Linked DNA regions of Drosophila melanogaster. The protein of the gene in region 2 interacts with the protein of the main gene of each other region in a pairwise test. Each region holds a gene or a part of one and is shown on either strand. Other genes may lie near its edges.

Region 1 (6,857 bases), on a different chromosome or scaffold from region 2:
TCATAGTCGTTCCCGGTCGGGGCGGCATGATGCAAATAGCTTTCTCAGCCTCACGCTTGAATTGACTGTCATCCGGGCCCTTGTTGCTAATTGAGCTGGTGCTGCTCTCATCGAATTCCTGGGAACCTTCATAATTTTGTCCCACCTCTAAGTTCTCCGGATCCATATGAAATATATTGTTAAAGTGGATTTAAATGAGAAAGTGGCGTTCCTTTCAAAGCAGTGTATTTGTTGATTGTTACAAAGCCCGAGCATTAATTACTGCTGTTTAGTCAAATTAAACCAAAAAATTCGATTTTATAAAATTAATGTGAATATGGCGGTCTCAGCAATATTTAATATTTTTATTAAATTATATGTAAACTATTTTATTTCCAAAAGGATACATTGACTTCAGTAAGGTGTTTGCATCGCAGTGAATGAGGCATTTGCGACCATATAAAGCTCACTTTATACTTTCTTGATCAGTATGAACAACCGAGTCGAAATAGCCATATGAACAATCGAATGTAAAATTTGGTCGTTTAATTTGGTATACATTTTTTACTACATTTTTTTAATTTTGAACAATCTTTAATTTCAATTTCAAGCTTCCGTTGTTGTTTATTCATTTTTTATTATTTAGCGCACTTTTATGAGAATTATTTTTTTTGCCGTAAAAGGTTTTACTAAATTCGATAAAGGTAAAAAGAAGCATTTCCGACTCTATAAAATATAATATTCTTGAACAGGCCAACAAGCCGCCCCAAACTACGACGCTAACACGCAAGACTTCACGAGACTTTCACTGTCACAATTACAAAGTAATTTGATTGTAATGCGAATTTCTATAGATATACCATTTTGCAACATCTCGCTCGCAGTAATGCGAATTTCTATAGATATACCATTTTGCAACATCTCGCTCGCAAAGTCGAGGAACCCTCTGACTTTTGTCTGTTTTTCGTCCCTTATAACACCAACAAACCGCCCAAAACTCCCACGCTTTTGAAAAATTTTTTAAATAGTTTATTTTGTTTTTTAAATTTCCTTCGATCTGCTAAAAGAATGTTGGAATTTCTCATTCGCACTTAGTATACGACTTGAGTAACAGGACTTTTAAAGTAGGGGAACTCGATCTTGTTTTGATTACAAGAAATATTAAAAAACATTTAACATTCTACATTCTCTAAATATCGTTTTTATGATGACAATGCTAAATAATGGGTTCCGATAATATCGATAAGTACCGAATTCTCGAAATTCGGTCACTCTTTCCGGAACGGAATCCACAAAGATCATTTTGCCTCGTCTCAGTTCAGCCTTTTTAGATTTTCCATAGCCAGATCTAGATTATCTAGAAACGGAACAGCCAGAACTAGATTATGTCTAGCTCAAATTATTTGGTAAAGAAATCAAATAAATCAAATAGTTAATTTAGTGTAGAATTAAACATGCCAAAAATTACAATCCTGCCACAGAAACCTTTATTTAAAGTTAACTACAAGTTCAAAGAATATTAACGGCCTGTGAAAAGTATTCCCCTCGCAGTCAATTTATGCTTTTGCATTTCATTTGGCTGAGGGTATACGGGTATAGTCGCGACGATCCATATTATTTTTCTGTTTCCTTGGTACCTTCTATGCAGGTTATCAAATCACAAAGATTTTACGCACAATATTATTTAATCTGTAATCCCTATCACAGTCCTTGCGGGCTTCAAATAACCTAAGTCGAGCTTTAAAAATGCTAAAACGGCAACACTCGTGCCAACATTCTGCTTAGTTGCTGCCAACCCAATCTAACATGTTCGAAGTTGCGAGACCGTTTTGTACAAAAATATATTTAAGCGACTGGCAAAACGCGCTCTCTTTGTTGCTGAACGATTTCACTCGCGTCGTCGTTTCCCAAGAAATCCGAAAGATATGGCTAGTTGACTAAGAAGTAATTCGATATTAATATATTTTTTTGGAAGCGCATATAGTTTTATTGGGCTAGATCGCATTTTCTGCATGGTGAAGTCCGTTACGATATGTTGTCGGATATATTTTATGTGCGGTGAGATCCAACGCGGTGTTTGTGTGTGTCTTTTGTTGGCGTTGCTGTTGTTTGTAGCCATCGCCATAGCCATCGGCATCGCAGCCCGCGGTATCGAAGTTTCAGTATCAAAAGCATCGGCAGCCAGCCCAAGCTGAAACTAGTCGATTGTTCAATTCCCAAAAGCGCGGGCCCTTTACACTTGCGTTCGTTCTCCTTCGCGAGTGTGTATTTGTGGCCGTGCACAAGTGCATTTGTGTGTGTGCACTCGGGATTCCTCTTCCATTCCAATCGCCGCTCGACCCCCCCCCCCCCCTTCCACACCATACCTCGCAGGTGAGTATCGCCACAGCCGCGAAAGCATTTTCCAGCTGCTCCCCACCCTCGCCTTGCGATTCGGTGATATTAGTCATCACCGCCATTGCCTGTTTGTTCATGGTTTAATTAAAAAAGTGGCGGTAGTCCACTGTTTCTTGCTCTGCTTCCCGCCACGCCCATTCGCAGCGGCAGCGTCAGTAGGCGATGCCGAAGAGAGTCGCCGTGAAGCAACAGCCAACTAAAAGAGCAAAAGAGCTCACACGTGTCGGTGGCTAAGAGAGAGCGCACAGGGGCGTGGGTGCCCTTCGTGAGAGGGATGAATTATTATTCCAAAGGATTGCCCAGACTTGTTTTCATAGATTCTCTGGTAACCTATTCGTACTTTAATGAATTAAATATTGTTTATTGGATTAATCTGGTTCTATGAAGTGTAAAAAACAATTGACCCTTTCGGTCTACAACTGTAATTCATGAATCACTTATTCAATACAATTTTATATTAAGTAAATTTTGTTGATAACAATGGAAATTATATTGTTGACCATTGTTTCCCAATCGAGATAAAAAAATTCATTATTTGAGGAATGCGGGTATTAGCAGTAGGTACTTCTATGCTACTTCGAATACATAGAATATTTCTTCTTTTTAGTGGTACAACTTCTTCCGTATGAGAAGTATTTTAGCAGCAGCTTAGGTATAGCAGCTAATTCCTTATCCTGAGAACTGACTTTAAATAGTATTAAATAGCCGAACGCATTTCGCTGTCTTCATTGTCTACTGTGTACCTTTGTTGGGTAAGGAGTGCAGTGGTGTGCCGCCTATGTCAGTCAATCAAAAAGTTTCACCTGTCCGCCGAATGCGGAAACGTCGAGAAATGTAGTTGCATTCGCATTTTTTCAGGTTTTTAGGGTCAGCCAACGAGTGCGCTAAATACTTCGATCAGAAATTTATGTATGTGTGTATGTGTGTATGTATGTATGTATGTATGCATATGTATGTATCACCTGGAGAATGTGGTGCGGCATCAATTACCGCTGGCCGGTGGTCAGAAAAGCGAACCTGGAGCTACGTAGAGTCAAGGGCTTTCGCAAATAGATTGCAACAATGCAGTGCTAAAGTGCTAATTGATCGCTTTGCACCTTGGCCCTCGCGTATAGTTATTTGGCTGGCGCGACTGGCTTAGACTCAGTAAACACATTATCTGCTTAGATTGCTCAGAAAACACATCAAATCCAAATATTCATTCGCGTTTACACGGCAAATCTCAAGATTGTGTCTCATTGCCGGGCTTCGATTTTCTCAGAAGAGAGGAGCTATACAATCGGCTGGCTGTATCAGTCACACCCACAAGCAATCTGAAATTATTCGGGCCAACATAAAAATTCGGCCAAAGTCCATGAGATCTTGGTTATAGAGATCGCATGTATTAGTCCTCTGGTTTATATGTACATAGGTGCTCGCTAATATGTGTTTTGGCAGCGCATGCTTAATAAGCACTTTTGGGCTCTGCTATTATGAGGAAAGTTTTTTAACCGGTTTGTCCTATGGAGAAAGAAAAGAACAATGACATCGTACGGGTTCTCTGGCCCCTGAGACTCTCGTCTGAGACTGAGATGCTTGGCCACGATCTTCGTACCATTCGGGGTTAACACATCGTGGGCATAATCATTCGATGGACAGTGACAGCATCGTCAGAGTCAAGAGAACTAGCCTCACCACCTGTTGCGGTGCTATAAAGACAAATGTGCCGTTATCGGCGGTGAGATGGACAGATCCAATTCATGATGGTAATGCGAATCCAGCTATCGTTCGGTTAGGAGGCAAGTCTATGATAAAAGTTTATTAAATGCTTTTGGCATACTTAGGCTCCAGAGCCCTTAAGTAACAAAAGATTTGATATAGCGGTCGATATAACCTATATCTTGAAATATATAATGATCATAATACGCCAATATAAGGATTATAATTCCAAAGGGAAAAGTTGACTAGCGACTGTGATGTCTGGCAATGCAGCCAGTATTTAATTTTAAAAGTATTATTTTTACAGTTATTAGTTTATACAGCCTTTGCCTAATAATGATATCTTATGAATTATATTTAAATACCAAATGAGAACTGTATGGTCGAGTTCCTTGCCTGTTAGTCAGCTAGTAGATGTTTAAGCGAGAATCTTTAATATTATTTTGGCATATCGATAGAAGTGTTACATACATACTTCCCAACGAATCTACTAGGCTATACTTTACGAGTAATGGTGCTCTAAGAATTTACCTCAAAATGGTAAATCGCCTTTATCCTGCATGGTTAAACAAAATATTGTAGAAGAGATGCAATGCATACGAATTTTCGAAATAAAAGAGCACTTTGATATCTTTTGGTAAATGTAACTATATATGTTATTTAAAAAGAAGTAAAAAGCTATAAGTACCATGTACTCACCTTTCCAGCAAATAACATCATTAATATTACAATATTACCGATAGATACCCATTGACCGTCTGCAAGGGTACACAAACTTCGGCTAGTCGAAGCCGGCTTTCTTTCCCGTTTCTTTTTTCGACATTGACGGGACCTACTCGTATACATTTCGCACATTAATTTCATTTACCCAAAGATTCGGACAGTTTTTCTCTGTCGCTTGCTGTTGTCTCTCTCTCATTTTCCCCAGCCTTTCTTTGTGCGTTTTTTGTTTTTTGTTTTTTCTTTCATTGTTTTTGTCGGGTTTTACGTATTTTTGGAAAACTTACCACGCCAGTGTTATGTAAGTCGACCCCTCGATCTCAGCGGCTTCTCCTCAATTTAGAATGCCCGAGGCAGAGTCGCAATAAAACAATAAACAAAACCTCCATTCCTGACACCCGTAACCTATGCTTTGGGAACTATGCATGTGCATAATTACACATCGATGTATTTAAATGCCATTAATGCAGTGCGGCCCTGCGATGGAAACTTTCATCGTGTGTTTCAGCAGCTCGGTCGGTTTTCCGTGGGGTCTGACCTTCCCGAGCAGCCAAACAAATTACAAGTGCACACACATTAATCGGCCAGCCGACCTGAGGTCGTCAGGTGGGAGCGGTCCGCGCGATTCACTTGCGCTTTCGTTTCAATATATCCGACCACGCTTCTGGCGATCCAAGCCAGTGATCGAGGGCCGCCGCCTTTATTTGCTTGCGAGGAGATCGGAATCCCAAGTGTCTTGTGTGGCCTGACTCGATATTTTCAAGACGAGCACTCACACAATTCAAAAAGCATCGCCGCGATTTTCGAAATTTCGTCATTTAAATAAATTAATATTTATTTTTTAACAACGAGGACGGAAGATAATAACACCTTCGCAAATACAATATTACGATATACAAAACAAACAGAAAACAAAACAACAAAACCCAGGTATCTAAGGTATCTAAGAAAATACTTATAAAATTCGCAAAACGAAACAGATATCGCAATCTATCTCCGCACAATATCACAATATGGAAGGACTTTAACCCCCAATTAATTAATGCCGATAGCACTGTTTCTGGCTCCAGCCAACCGCTTATAAGGCAGCTAACTTATAGTTACGATTTTCTTCATTTCTCCCTTTAACCCCATATTTTTGATTAGGTTTTATATATAGCTGGTAAATTTAACGAGAACAGAAAAAAATAATAAGGGAGCTAATCGCCTATCAGATAGAAATAAGCAAGACAAATGATAATATAAAACGATTTCAAATACATTCACAAAATTCTTGATGATTCAGTTTTGAAAAGTTTTTGGCATACCGAAGAAATCCCTTCGACGTTCTAAATATATAAATACAAATATAGTCCACCCTTAACCTACGAAAAATTGCTAAACGAATGTTACGCAGAAAGTAATTGTCAAAAAAAAAAGATTTTTCATTTGACAATGAAAGTATATTATACAAAATTTACCCTTTCTAAAGATTATTTGTTTAATTAAATAATGTCGACTGGTAAAATCTTCACAGAAGAATCAGATTTTATGTTCAGCGTGTGAACGTCAGCAGTTATTTTATTTGTATATATTTTATATATTTAATTATTTTTAAAAAATACAATACCTTTTGTAGAGCATCAGTACACTTCAATTTTGAAACCATATGCGCTACAGTAGAAAAATTTGCAACGAGTCAATGCGTGTCTTAAAGAAGTATAAAAAATGTATTGTTGATTAAAAATCTTTTGACCAAAACTATTGAAAAAATAGAATTTCGAAATGCTATATGTGAAGGATATTTATCTATCTAGTTCCTTTGAAATTTTTAATTTTTACTAAGTGGAATGACTAAAGTTTCTACATGAAACTGCTTGCTCAGCACATAAAAATACGTTTTGTTTCGGAGAGGCAAAAATGTAGTAAAAAAAATGTAGTACAACTTTCCAAATATTATTGTGGGAAGTATTGCCCTCCCCAGCTTATTAATCAGTTCAAATTAATTAAATTTGTCTTTAAACATTCACCGTTCTTTCATCAAAATTATGGTGAAAGAGTCAACAAAATTTTATTTTTTTCTT
Region 2 (8,745 bases):
ACCAGAGACCCGCTTCCATCGGGTATCGGTACCCTATTTCCTTACTCATTTCGATTACTTCGCCCCACTGCATCTTCCGGTGGTCAGCGCACGTGATATTGTATACCGGCACGTCCTTCGGCCGCTCCGTCATCTTGGCAAACTGGTAGGGGATCACGCACAGACCGTTGATGGCGTAGTCCACCGGAATAACCTCGGACAGGTGGCGCGTGTCAATCAGCATCGATCGGATGACACCTTTGCCGGCGCCCACCATCAGCCCGGTGGGTCCGTTAAGGTTGTCCACCCATCCCGGGACGGGCTCGTACGCCGACGGCGACACTGGGCGTGCGGGAGATGAGTTCAAATTGGGACTCCTCCTCCCAGACGTTCTTGGGATCAGGCTGATGCGGATGCGGATGCGAGGGCGGAGGCGGAGGCGGAGGCAGAGGAAGGGTAAAGCGGGGCGTTTCTGTCTTCTTTGTTTTCATTGCATGCTCATTGAACTTTTTGGTCAATGACGACGGCATTTGTGTGCAGTGGTTGAGGTAGTTTATTGTTTTAAGCAATGCTGTACACCATGTCATGTAATCGGGCTCTTTCTTTTCAAGCGCTGTGATTGTGGTGGTGTCTGTTGGCAGTTTGTGGTTGCTCAGACCTGTATTGCTGCTGCTGTGGTTCATGTGCGGTGTACGTATTAAGAAGCGCGGCAGCAGAAGAGTCAAGCGGGGAGCCCGCGCCGGATAGGAGGACATGAGATCAACCAGTGGCGATGTCATAAAACACACGGAAAGCGTAAACACTTGACGAATTAGCGGTAGGTGGCAAGAAGCGGCTTAAGACTAGCACCAAAGCAACCCCATACCCAACAAGTACATTCATTATCATCTGCTAATGTCTCTGAAGATCTGCTAAAATCGGCGAACTCTGCCGAACTTTGCTCGCTAGTTAGCAAACGAGGACGTAACCCGTCCATATTGGGTGTATCCATGGGCTATTTGCCCAGCTAAGCAGGTCACCCTTGCCTTGAACCCTCCCGGTTACAAATGAAATATTCATCCACTCCTATCGATTTCAGCATTCAGCTAGCCTATCATTAAATAAGTTTGAGGGGAGCTGCCATCGGAAATACCTATTCACAAACATTTTCCTAACCTTATCTGGGCAGTATAAAAATAAAAGATTCGATTAAAGTATACTTTCATATCAAATTACCACTCGGCTTAGTGTTTGATTTTGGAGATTTGCATCAATATGGTCGGACTGGTTTCTGCCCAATAGTTTCTCCACCTCCCATGAATAACGCCCTCTCAGGTTGGCCAAAAACTGCTAATAGAAAACTTTAATTGACTGCCAGCGCAGACAGATCGTACATTCCAGGCAGAGACGTCCAACAAAGACGCCAGGTGGCCGAAAAAGATATAAATAATAAGCAAGCCAGGGCAACATAGACACAGACACAGACATAGACATAGACTTAAGGCGGCAGAAGCGGAGGCGCATTATTAGGTATTAGTTAGAGGGGAACTGGCGACTGGCAATTGCAGACTCAATTTCGCTTCCAGCGCAGCTGGCTACCAAGCAAGCAAGCAATCCCGTCCAGAGACATAGAGAATTAACGACTCTGATAAATCGATTCGCCGCAGGCCAAAGCGACGCGGATAGGCAACAGCGAGGTGGCATCCGTACTTAAAAGGTCACTTACCGATGCTGGGACGTGCGATGATGACGGGCATGGACTCGTAGTGGTCGCGCACCAGAAGCTCCGCCAGACGCTTTGAGTAGGTGTATGTGTTGGGGTGCGGCTTTAGCAAATCCGGCGTAATGGCGTCCAGGGTCTTCACGTCCATCCACTCGGCCAGGCGCATAAGATCCTCCGGCTTGTGTGGAAACTCGTACACCTTCTCATACATCACATCCTGGTCGCAGTTGCAAAAAGCCGTGGACAAGTGGATGAAGGCCTCCAGCTGCTTCATTTCCTTGGCCACGTTGAGCGCTCGCCGGGTGCCTAGCAAGTTCATATCGATGGCGTCCCGAAGGTTGCCCTCCAGCTTAAGGGTGGCCGCCATGTGGAAAACAATGTTAGTGTTCTCGGTCACGTGCTTCAAGCTCTCCCCGCTGAGCCCGAGCTCTACAAATGAAGGGCAGGAAATGCAAATCAATCGAGATTAAAGTGCGGAACTTAAGCGCTACACTTACGGTCGAAGGTGACGTCGCCCTGGTAGATGGTAACCCTCTTGAGCATCTCCGGGCGCTCGTCCTTGATGCGCTGGAAGATGGGCAGCTTGAACATCTCCTCGAGACGCGTCTCGGGTGCCTTGCCGCGCTTCGGGCGGCAGATGATGATCACCTCCTTGAGGGAGTGGCAGGAGTAGAGCAACTTCTCCAGCAGAACCTTGCCCATGAACCCAGACGCTCCAGTGATGAATATCGTCTTATCCTTATAGTATTCCTGCACTGGCGATAGATCCACCGTCATCTTTCTGCAAGAAAGAGGTGTATTAGCACACCTTCTGGGAATGGGAATGGAAATGGAGTGACGCAAGAAGCATTCCGGGAATGCGAAAACCAGTCAAAGGAAAAACTAGTGATTGGCAAGCGAATGGCGCAAGTGGTGCTGGAAAAACTGGGGCTAATTCTGGCCACGCGTGCCCCTCTTACCACATCTGGTGTTCGACTTGGAAGCAGCCAACACACAGCAGCAACCAGTGAGCTGAACCTGCCGCAAACGGGTTTCTAGTGGACTTTCGGTTTCTATTTGGATTTTCGATTGCGCCTGTGGATTCGCATTTCTTTGCTGGCTTATGCAATTACCAGGGGTAGCTGGCATCGAACCCGTCTAGCGTGCCAGGTTGTCTTTATATCTCCCCCTCCGACGGGGATTGTTGCAAGTATTTGTTTCTCAATCTGCATGCGGCTGGGTTGGATTGCAGCCGCGTTACAGTTGGCCACATCTGCTCGGCAATCTCGAATTGTGGATTGTGCCTGTGCCTTGCACTTTGGGCATGTCATGACATTTCACGCAAGACCGAGCGGACGTACTTGTTTACCTATTTATTGCAGCTCGATTGTGGTCACACCCCGCCCAAGCGTATGCATGTCCAATACTGTATCTCCGGCAACGAGTGTTTACCTCCTCCAGCAGAGCAAAGCTGGAAAAGATGGAAATCGCAGGAAGCATGACGCAGCAGCCCCACTGCACCTTGAACTACAAGCTGAAATCTATGTGGTTGGATCTGTTTCTGGGATCACTTCACTTAGATCACTGCGGTTCTCCTTCATCTCGCCTCGCGGCACCTGCCTTTAGGGGCTTGTTACTGAGCCCCAGTTTTCGGCTTTATGGCCAATTAAAACGCGTCCGCCGAATGTGTGAAACCAACGAGAGCCACAGCCCGAGAAACAACTTCAGAGTGCTTGCACTTATGCAAGCCTCGAAATACACACATTGAGACAAATTTCGGTCGACCCAAGTTGTCAAACCCGAAGTTATGAGCATTACAGACAAACGTATTTATTAAAACTGAACCTAAAACAACGGAGCTTCATTTTGTAAACGAAAGACTTAGGCCACAAACTTGATCCCAATTGGGGCGGACGAGCGAGAAAGAGACGAGTCAGAAAACAGTAACTAATGCAAAATACTGATAGACAACTAAAATAACATAACATATTTGTGATTTCTAATGAAAGAACAATGTGTGCATAGTTTTAACAACGGAGCATCACGAAGATAATGGAATTCAAGAAATTTGTTTGAGATTTTACCATCTATGTATTTTGTTCATAAGCATATTGATGTAGCGGAACGACTTGCAAAAATTACGTCGAAATCGATAAATTCAAATCCGAAATGTTTTTATACCATTTTAAACTTACCCTCCCCACAATTGGCAAGAGTGTTTTTAAGCTCTTTGATATTACGCAAACGCAAATTGACCCTATTTGAAACGTCGATAAACGATAAAGAGTCTTTTATCTTATGATATTTGTTTCTCTCCTTCGTTTGTCATATTTTTATTAGAGCCAAAACCGGTATATCGTATATCGCTTGTAAGTAGAAACATTTTGGAATCTTTAATTAGCTTGTATGTGGTTGTGTTTATCGATTGTGTGTTCCTCTTGTTTACATATTGCTGCTTTTTAGCCTAAGTAATATTGTGTGGTTACAACTCGATTGCGACCTCAGAACTGGCTACCGATGATGGGGCCATTAAAATTTTCCAATGCAAAGTGCAGCCTGCAATCGGTCTGCAGTTAATAAACCCATTGGAGCGCAGTGACTGATTGACTGACTGCGCTGTACCAATGACCCCTTTTCTAAGGCAACGTAAGCTCGAATACGGAGAAGAGCTGCGGATGTGGCTGTGTGGAGGATCATTAAGAAAGCCACTTGAGGCTGAGACATTAAACCATGAAATCGAACAAATTTTAAATGTTTGGCAATTCTTCCATTCCATTTCCCATTTGGCCTTTGCTCACGTAGTCTCACGATATATTTAAATAAAAATCCCCCTCAATATGTAAATGGCTTTTGTATTGGATCAGCATTGATACAAATGAGATGAAACCCCGACACATAAAATTAGCAGCAAGCCGCAAGCCGAGGTTCAAATATATGCAAAGGGCCACGGAACTCAAAGCGGAAAATGTGGAATATCGAAATATCAGACTTTGCGACAGGTCATGACACGACCCTGACATAGACGGGGGTTCACGAGCGTATCTCGAAATCAAACTCAGTAGGGCAGAGGGGCCTACCTTTGTAATCGTCAATTAAACGCTTCGCTGGGCTGGCAAATGCCTCGAATTGCAGCCTAATAGCCCCGAAAAATAAGCAGCATTGTCTTTACAATGCGGTAATCACAAGGAGGAATCGCAGCTCGAGATGAGGTCGGCGGAGTGCTAGATTGCAAGCCGAAACTATTTTGGGGCTACTAAGTGTTTCAATTACCTTGAGTATTGCTTGGTATTCTCCTCAATTAAAACACTTGCAATATTGGTATCAAACTCTCGCACACGCGAATTAATGCGAGACTATATCGGTTCGGAGCGTACTAGTTCGGATCGAATCGAGTAGTGGAGGGAGCGGTGTGGACGCTGCGAAGCTCGAAAGAAGACTGAACGCGACCAGCCCGGTGGTTGTCAATATGAATACGTTGTGGAGTGGACTAGCAGTGCTTTGGGATGTTGCAAACCATGCCGAAACGAAGCAAAACCACTGGCCTGGCTGCACGCCGTACTGTGGTAGGTATTCGGCAGGTGTTGGTACAGACATAAATATCTATTAGCTCGGCTAATCTAGGCGGAACTGGCCGTCTGGCCTAAGAGGCTTAGGCTGGGTCCAAGTGATGGGCCAAGTAGTTGACTTTTGACTACATGGGCGGGACTGCTGGGTACCACAAGATGCAAGTCCCAGGCCCAGGAACTCTTTGGCATATTTTGGGAAACATTAACTTTGCCATTTGGACGAGTTTTATTGACTTTGCTGCTTTTCAGCGAATAAGATATATTGGCATCATTATGGATGCAAAATTAGCAACGGATCGAATTGGTTTCCATTACACAATGGTCCAGCTTTGCATTCGCAGCCACCGCGGCGGTGGTTTCCACTTTGTTTGCCTTAATTAGGTGGTTATCAATCTCCTATGCAAATCTATTGTTGCCCAATGTCGCGAATATTGGTAATTAGTGCAGTCTTTCCTGTGATTTTTGCACACGCTAAATTATGCATGTTACCAATTTTGTTGCAAAAAAATAATATGTTTGTGTCTTCCAGTCCCAACTGATGGTTTCAAAAAGGCCGCCAAAGTTGAAAATATCGATATCATGCAGATGATATATGGATACTTGTCCTGCTAAGGTAGTGCTGTCAGAGTTGCTTAAACTGATTAGTTATAATAAACCATCAGTTAATTCCAGGTATGAAAAAAAGCGTGCATTATGTAAATTGCATAGTGAAATTAAATCGACAATTTGTAATCTCGCTGCGAATTTCCAGGAATCTCCAGCCCTGGCCGGCTTATCGATACATCTGGCACAAAAGGCGTGCAGAGTTGTTCTCCAAATTTCCTGTCGCGAATTTTATTCATTTATAATTAATTACAAGCCATGGCCGAACTGGACGATTTCTTCGCGAAAAAGGACAAGAAGAAGTCCAAGAACAAGACTAAGTTCGTGACCGCCGACGAGATGGTGAAGAACCTGGAGGACGGCACCAAGCGCGAGGTGGTCAAGCCCAAAAAACCTGAGGTAGCCGCTGGCGGCGTGGCAGTAGTAGGCGAAAACGAGAATAGCGGCACCAAGGTGCCAGAGTCCGCCCCGGTGAGTCCGAATCTCAGTCTGGTGAAATCAGCGCCCGTTGGCCACCTAGGGCATGTTTATAAGTTCATTGTTTTGCCGCTCCGTAGCCCGTCGAGGAGGAATGGAAGGAGTTCGAGGAGGAGCAGCGCAAGGACTACAGTGGCTTAAAGATCGGCCAGCTGAGCACCATGTGAGTTTTCGAACGTTACGCCGACCGCCTAATCCATGAGCAGGAGAAAAGGCCACTTCCATTGATTTACTTTCCATTTGACCCCGCATATTGCGAAAACTCGCTTTCTATAGCTCTTCGGCCCGTTCCAGAACTGCCCAGGAAAGTTCCGAGTCGCAAGCTGCTCGAGTGCCCTCTGCCCCGGACGGCGGCAACTACAATGAGGACGATGAGGACAGCAATGGGTATGACAACGCGGACGTAAACAAGGAGCGCGTCGGCCACGGACCCTGGAAGAAAGTTGTCCCAGCCGAGGAGGTAATGCAGATTCCGGTGCCCGTGGAGGTGGAAAAGCACTCGTCCAAGACCTACGTTTCACCCGCGCTACGATACAGCGTAAGTAAGAAGAGCGAGACGATCCAGATCGAGTTTAATCAACTTCTCTGCAGCAGCAGGCCGGAAGTGGACTGGGAGGCGGCCCTACTGGGGGGGCATTGCGTCCACGACGCGCCGCCCCCGACATCACCAATACCGAGTTTTTCCCAACCTTAAGTGCGGCGCGTCCGGAGGAACAGCGCAAGAAGAAAAACGAACCCGCCTTCGAAGAAGTCCGTCACGGAAGCCGTTTCCAGCGTGTTCAGGAGTCCACGGCTGCCCCGGTGGCGGCCTCCAACCGATTCCAGTCGCTTGACGACGAAGCAAGCTAGGTCAGCCCACGCCAACGGTGCTGTTGCTGGCCACTTGAACCGCTATCTACCACAGTGTCCGCTGCCGAGCTCAAGCCATCCAAAGGTTCTATGCCAGCACATGCAGATTTTCTAGGCTTTTTGATTCATATAAACCACCACTGCTACTCTTACCCTAAACCACAAACTACTATTGTTCATTTCGTTTTGCATTTTGAAAAATGGATTAATGTAATACAATACGAATAATACCCATGCGTTGAAATCCGTTTATAAACGTTACTTTTTTATACGTTTCCGTTTCTCACTTTTCCATGGCGAGGTCTTCCGGGCAGCTGTCCAAGTAGCTGCAAAATCAGTAAGAAAGATCATCTCTGGCTGAAACAGTGCGTACTGACTTTTCATTGTACGGCCTCTCCGGCGTGTTGTGGTACGAGATCAGCAGCTCCTTGGCCAGCATCTTGTCTGGGAAGTTGCGAATCAGGTACAGCCAGCACTGAATGGTTCTAGACATAGGGGCAATAGTGAGTTATTACATCTGGCCATCACCCCACACCCTCATACTCATTCTGTTCCATTAATATGGTTTGTTGCTCGCGATCATAGTAGTCCGGGTAGTCTTCTAGTATGTCCAGTTTGGAGAGCATGGTCTCGTCCACTTCGTAGACTTCGCCTTCTATGTGGTTCCCCTCACCCGGGCGGGCGAGCAGAAATGGGATGTTGTAGCGGGTTCCGACAACCAGGGGAAACTTCGTTTCCGTTTTCCCCCTTCCAAGGAATCGGGCTTGGCCGTTCTCCTTTTTCGTCAGCCAGTGGTGATTGGGCTCACCGCGCTTCAACGTGCCATACACAAAGACCCTTGCCGCCATTCTCAGCTTTTCAGCCATTGCGCTTCCCGCCGCCAGGCTTATCAGTTTCAAGCGGTATCGTGCTATCAAATCCGACCTGTAGATTGCGCAGTCGACATAACCCGTCCGCTCTTCTTCTTGCTGCCATTCGCACCGAATCTAGCCTCCGTACACCGCGAGAAACTGAAGCCCTCGGCACTGGGCTGTGGAAAATTACCAGGGACTGCTGTCCAGCATCTTTACTTCTATAATAGAACGAGGGGCATTTTATTTTATTTTAAATTGCTTCAGTTTATTTGCTTTGTTTGTCGAAAACTATCAAATTACAGACTACGTTTGCTAAAACCTAAATAATGCGTATGGTACATATGTATCAGTTTATATCGTTTGCCCATATATACGGGTATATATCGATCAGTACATCTGCGTCTGCAAGTACGGTCTTAAAATGCAACTACGGTAACATAAGATTAGTGGCCAGGCTATCCAGAGAACATCCAAACAAACGGGCGACACCACAACCCACGTTATTAGTTCTGGGCCTCGTAGGTGAGGTCGTCCTGGGCCGGATGCTTGTGGGTGCGGCGATGGCGCATAATGTATGGATGGGTGGTTGAGTTCTCGTAGCTGGACAAGTAGCGCAGACTAAGTAGGTTCTCCGGGTACTTCTGCAGCAGGTACACCCAGCATGGAACGGTTCTGGAAAGGAAATTGTGACCCATCACACCACATTGCTGAAATGACGTCAGATCCGACTAATGCT
Region 3 (5,651 bases), on a different chromosome or scaffold from region 2:
CATGTACGCCTTAGATCATTATTTCGCAATAAATCAGTTTTTTCTTTCAGTGTATGTCAAACAAATGTTGGGTCGTGGGTGTTGCCAACGGATTCAGCCGCTGTTATTGTTATTGTTGTTCGTGCCGCTGTTAATGGGCATGCGTGGGAAATTCTGGTACCGACAATACCCTAGAATATTTTCACTGTCTGATCGCACGTGTAACTTTAATTACCCAATTATTGACCCGCAAACACAGCGATTTTCCGCCGAAAAGCGTAGGAAAATTTCGAAAAACCAATGTTTTTTATTGGTTCCTTGCGAACTTTTTCGATCGAAATTGTGATTTATTTATAATGGCGAACATTTAAAATTAAATTCGTTTAAAAATAGCCCAAACGAATCGGTAAAATAAGCAGAAAAGTCGATTTATGACGGGATTCCTTCGCAGCCATGCCAGCCATTAGGGCCAATTTGTAAACGGCAACTAATTTGGCCCACAAATAAACAGCGAATAAAATAAAGGTGGGCCAAGTAAGCCAATGGGATTAATTGTGATTGCAAGGCTGATGTTGTAAGGCAATTAGATTGATTTTATTATTCGATTAGCTTAAAATTCGTATGGCCTACTAGTTACAAGAGTCAGAGTTGAAGTTGAAAATCGATTAGATATCGTTGTGCGCTATGCTCGTTACTCTAGTTTGTCTAAGGACTACATATCACATATCCGGATATTATCTGTATTCTAGTTAGATGCTAGTAAAAACCTACACGCTACTTAACAAAGAAAAATCAATTGGACGGGAAGCATAGTTCCCTCAAAAAGGTACTTCTAGTAGTAGATCCGTGTAAAATTGTGTCCTGTTGCGAGGAAGTATTTGGGTTTCTAGGCGATCTCTAATCTTAAAGCGCTTGAAGCTTGAAAAGCAATTTGCATTTACCATTTGATGATGTTTTGCAATATTATCACAAAGTGTTCCTACATATAGCCTAGACCTGCATGTAGCGATAGTTGGCAGTGGAGCCGCTGCGGTATTGGCCCTCGCTTAGCTTGACGTACTGCCCCAGGAAGTTAAGCACGGTTGCGCTGCGGCACACGTTGTGCAGGCAGCCCAGCAGATGGGGCGTCAGGATGGTGGTCAATATGTAGGCTAGCTGGGGCATCCTGTCCGTGTGACCTAGCGGGCACAGCCAGTAGCCCCGCCGCACGGCGTCCCTGGTGTGGTGTGTGATGAAGGCACAGAGTAGGGATCCCAGCATTAGGCTGGTCCGGAAATAGTTCAAACAGGCGGTGCACATGTAGAACAGCAGCATAACCACTATAATGCTGGAGCAGTGGAGGAAGGGCCTCTTCGACAGATTGGTGGCATCCTGCGTGCGAGTTGTGGGAACTTGGTTAGTTCGTTTTTCGTCTGGTTACTGCAACTCACCTCCAAATAAAGGGAACGAGCCTCCACAAAGTGGTCCAAGTCAATGAACGATGACACAACGAAGCAGGTGAAAATCAATATCCAGCCGAACAACTGCGAGGTGCGCTCGTAGAATTGTGTGGCGAACGTGATTCCCGTGAGTGCTCCAATGGCCGCATGGGTGGCATTGTCGGCCAGGGCCTTCAGCAATGGATGCTGGGTCAGCTCCACAAAGTTGTCCCCCAGCAGACACGTAATGGTCACCAAGGTTGTTAGCACAATTCGCATATAGACCATTGTGTGGCAGTGGGGCATCGATTTCTGGGAGAGTCTGCTCTACTTTTCCGGCTGGCTACGCTCTGGTTTTCGGCAATTGGACGGATTTACTTGCTTCCGCTGTGTGCACTTACTCCTCCTGCTGTTGCTGCTCCACGTAATCTTCGCTGCTGTAATGTCCACGTACTGCTGGCATCTTGTTTACCTGCAATTCGTCGTGTTCCCGGCGATTTGCAAGGATATTTGTTATGGATGTGCGCACATAAAAATATCACACAATATTTGGAAGAGTAAATAAATACTTATCGATATTGTTCGGCAACCGCTCTATCGATATTTCTTACAGCCAGCAAATATACTGTAATGCGTTACAAAATACCGCGAGATTGAAATTTAAAATATTCGCTGTAACATTTTTCTATTCATGACATTGATCATTTCAATTTTATTTTAAATGCAGCAGAGAAAAAGCTTTTAATGTTATTTACATTGGTAGATTTTAATACAAACATATTATTTCCTATTTTCACAGCTAGCTGGGTAAAACAATCGACTTCTTATATTTTTCTTATCGAGAACTTGACTTTCATAATGGATCCGCTACCCTATTTTCTATTATCTGTTCTATTGTGCATTATGATACGGGTACAACTTCGATTTAAATACAATCAAAAATAAAAGTTTTCACTTTTGTTGTAAAAGTATATCAGTTTTTAAATTTTTGCATTAAGAAATATATACATTCTCTAAGAAAAAACTGAATGACTGGAACAAAAAAGTGCCGCGCTGTTTGATTTATTAACCAATCCATGTGAATATCAATGGGAAGTACTTGTGATGATAAGGCCAAAAAAGACATATACAAAACACTTACGAAAAATACTTACCGATTGTAAATGACGTTAGAAATCTTCTTGCTTTTGGGCATTCCCTTACAAGGGTTACTATTTATTTATTAATCATAATAACTTAAATATATTTGTTGTATCAAAAACAAGCACTATACACGTTGAAGGGATAGTATTTACTCTTGATGGCTTGTCGGGCATGGGCAACACGTTCTCCATTGTGATACGAGTCCAAGATGGCATGATCTTCAGCATCCAGCTTGAAATCGAAGACATTGAAGTTCTCCTCAATGCGCTTGGGATTGGAGGACTTGGGCAGCGGGATGGTTCCCAGCTCAATCTGAAATTAGAATTCATCATGAGAAATCCGGTTCAACATAAGGCCTAAATCGAAAATCCTTACCACATATCGGATCACCACTTGGGCAATGGACTTATTGTACTTGTCTGCGATGGCCTGAACCTTGCCATCGTACATAAAGGTGGGCGTCCTCAACTCGGCATTGTGCCTGCCCAGTGGACTGAAGGCGGTCACCAGGATTCCATTCTTCTTGCACAGGGCAATCAGTTTCTTCTGATCCAACGCGGGGTGTACCTCAATCTGCAGAAAGAACAATATGAGTTGAGAAACTGGAGGGAACATCCTGTGACTAAGTTACTTGATTGTGGATTGGCTTGATCTTGCAGTTGGCCAACAGGCGCGTCAGTTGCTCCTCGTTGAAATTGGACACTCCGATGCTCTTGGTCAGGCCCAGGTCAACCAACTTCTCCATGGCGCCCCAAGTGTCCAGGTAATCAATGTCTCTGTAGTTTGAAGCAAGTAAACGGCATAGTAAGATTACTGATAATAGAAGGCGCATTTCACAATCACTTGTAAGTGCCAATCGATTCGAAATATTTCATATATTATTCATTTTACTCACACAAGTTCCACCTCTCCATTGGCATCTTTGGGAATCAGTTCGTTATCACCGCGATATTTATAGGAGAAAGGCCAGTGAATCAGATAGAGGTCAACATAATCCAGGCCAATATTCTTCAAGGTCTTTCGGCAGGCATACTCCACCCTTTCCGGTTCATGGAAATTGCACCAGAGCTGCGGAAATATGTGGCCACTTAAGGATTAGTTTATGATATGCCTGCTATAAGAACTTGCCAACTGACCTTGGTGGTGATGAATATGTCCTCCCGCTTGATGACGCCTTCGGCAATCTTCTTCCGAACCGCCGCACCCACTTCGGCCTCATTTCCGTAGAAGTAGGCGGTGTCTATGTGCCGGTAGCCCACATCAATCGCGTGGAGAACTGCCCGTTCGCAATCGCCTTCCGTCGACTGAAATCACAAGTCATCAATAACGTTAGCGGTTCTTCAAATGACGTTAACCCGGCTACTGATAGGCGACATTCCTGATCCGTATCGGATATGCTATGATCAACCAGTCAATGTCATACCGCGAAGGTGCCCAGTCCGATTCCCTGGATATGGGTTCCGTCGTTGTGCTTGAAGTAGTACTCCACTTTCCCGGTCATCTTCGCGGTTACAAAGTTGAACACTGAATGCTTGGGTTGCTCGCTTCACCTCTGTTATAAGGTTTTCGAATGGGCCCATAGAACCTTCAAAAGACCTTTTGCATTTGCAGATAAAACACGGCCAAGCTGGCAGAGAAACTTGGAAATAGTTTATAGAGACGCAAGGAGCGTAGGTTCTAAGTGTGCTAACCAATATATTAAATGCATTATTTTAATGTTTTAATAAGGATAAATTAAACACATATTTTTTATAAATGATCCAAACCAAATCATGTGTAAAATCCCATTTAAAAATATGTGGGAACACTTTTGAAAAACACTTATCGATAGCTTGATAGTTGAGTGGCGCGCAAAGCTGATTCGGTTAACTTTATCGCTAGTTTTGTTTATTTACCTATTACATGTGGGTTTGTTTATATTCTCTTCCCTTTTATAGCTTTTCATTTTTGCAATCTGCCTTGCAGTTGTGAATAATTGAATTCAGACAAGTGTTGGCGAAATTGTACTAGACCAAATGATTTTGATTAAGTGGAATTTTCCATGCCAAGCCCACACTAAAAACTAAATGATCGAGCAAAAGCTCTCTCTCAAATCATTAAATGTTCAGCAGTGGTGTCCAAAAAAGGGTATTGTTTAATTAAGATTATATGTATATAATCACAAAATGAATTCGTATTGTTTTCATAGATGACTTCAAATGTTTATTATATTTTATGCCCCTTTAAAATATTTGCCACACCCTTGACTGCAAATAAGAAACAGTTCAAGTGATAAGACTAAAATAGAAGAATTACGTACTATCAAAATGCTTAAAAGTAAAACTAATGCGATATTATGTAAAAAAAAAAAAATAAGTGTGCTTGTTATATAAAAATCTCCAAAATAAACATAAATATTTCAACATGAAAAAAGATCTCAAAAATAATTATTATTGGTGTTTATTTTTAAAAAACATATGTATATGTACACAAAATATCAGATTTAACAACCACTTTAATTAATATCAAACATTGCTCCTGCTTTCCAGCTCAAAACTCGATGTTAAATGGATAGTTCTTGCTTTTGATGGCGTGGGTCATGGGAATCAGACGTTCTCCGGTGTTGTAGGAATCCAGAATGGCATGATCCTCAGCATCCAGCTGGAAGTCGAAGATCTGGAAGTTCTCCTCGATGCGCTTGGGATTTGAGGACTTTGGCAATGGGATGGTTCCAATCTCAATCTATTTCGATAAACATTATGTTAATAAAGAGTTTTTGTTCTCATTAAACCTAGTTCGTAATCCCTACCAGATATCGGAGCACCACTTGGGCGGTGGACTTCTTGTACTTGTCTCCAATTGCCTGCACCTTGGCATCATAGATGTAGTTGGGCGTCTTTTCTGCTGGATTGGGTCTGCCCAGGGGACAGTAGGCGGTCACTACAATGTCATTCTTCTTGCACAGAGCAATCAATTTCTTCTGGTTCAACGCGGGATGACATTCGATCTGGAAAATGGTCTATTAGGAATATGAAACCCAAGGCATAACCACAATTGACGCACCTGATTGTGGATTGGCTTGATCTTGCAGTTGGCCAGCAAGCGAGTCAACTGTTCCGAGTTGAAATTGGA

What was found. The genes of interacting proteins can lie anywhere in the genome.
Region 1: the proteins of CG30427 (region 2) and CG31523 interact in a two-hybrid assay, tested with the Drosophila melanogaster proteins (one large-scale study listed by BioGRID).
Region 3: the proteins of CG30427 (region 2) and CG12766 interact in a two-hybrid assay, tested with the Drosophila melanogaster proteins (one large-scale study listed by BioGRID).

What each region holds. Positions count from the first base shown.
Region 1 is NT_033777.3:4,474,128-4,480,984, reverse strand, and holds the start of CG31523 (uncharacterized protein), read left to right. Parts: upstream 1-1,777; 5' UTR 1,778-1,923; exon of another isoform or gene 1,924-2,352; intron 2,353-5,558; exon of another isoform or gene 5,559-5,733; intron 5,734-6,857. Other genes in the region: sac (sterile affecting ciliogenesis), read right to left, coding at 1-166.
Region 2 is NT_033778.4:24,932,374-24,941,118, forward strand, and holds the start of CG30427 (uncharacterized protein), read right to left. Parts: upstream 5,105-8,745; 5' UTR 4,931-5,104; intron 3,963-4,930; exon of another isoform or gene 3,856-3,962; intron 2,463-3,855; 5' UTR 2,459-2,462; coding exon 2,179-2,458; intron 2,111-2,178; coding exon 1,685-2,110; intron 322-1,684; coding exon of another isoform or gene 1-321. Other genes in the region: CG3760 (uncharacterized protein), read left to right, coding at 6,088-6,300, 6,387-6,469, 6,583-6,844, 6,898-7,155; CG2811 (uncharacterized protein), read right to left, coding at 7,439-7,481, 7,533-7,640, 7,699-8,021; Tina-1 (troponin C-akin-1), read right to left, coding at 8,513-8,681.
Region 3 is NT_037436.4:3,936,044-3,941,694, forward strand, and holds CG12766 (uncharacterized protein), read right to left. Parts: upstream 4,083-5,651; 5' UTR 4,042-4,082; coding exon 3,964-4,041; intron 3,845-3,963; coding exon 3,677-3,844; intron 3,609-3,676; coding exon 3,436-3,608; intron 3,317-3,435; coding exon 3,172-3,316; intron 3,114-3,171; coding exon 2,916-3,113; intron 2,853-2,915; coding exon 2,652-2,852; 3' UTR 2,581-2,651; downstream 1-2,580. Other genes in the region: CG10866 (uncharacterized protein), read right to left, coding at 970-1,350, 1,410-1,703; CG10863 (uncharacterized protein), read right to left, coding at 5,070-5,261, 5,329-5,526, 5,583-5,651.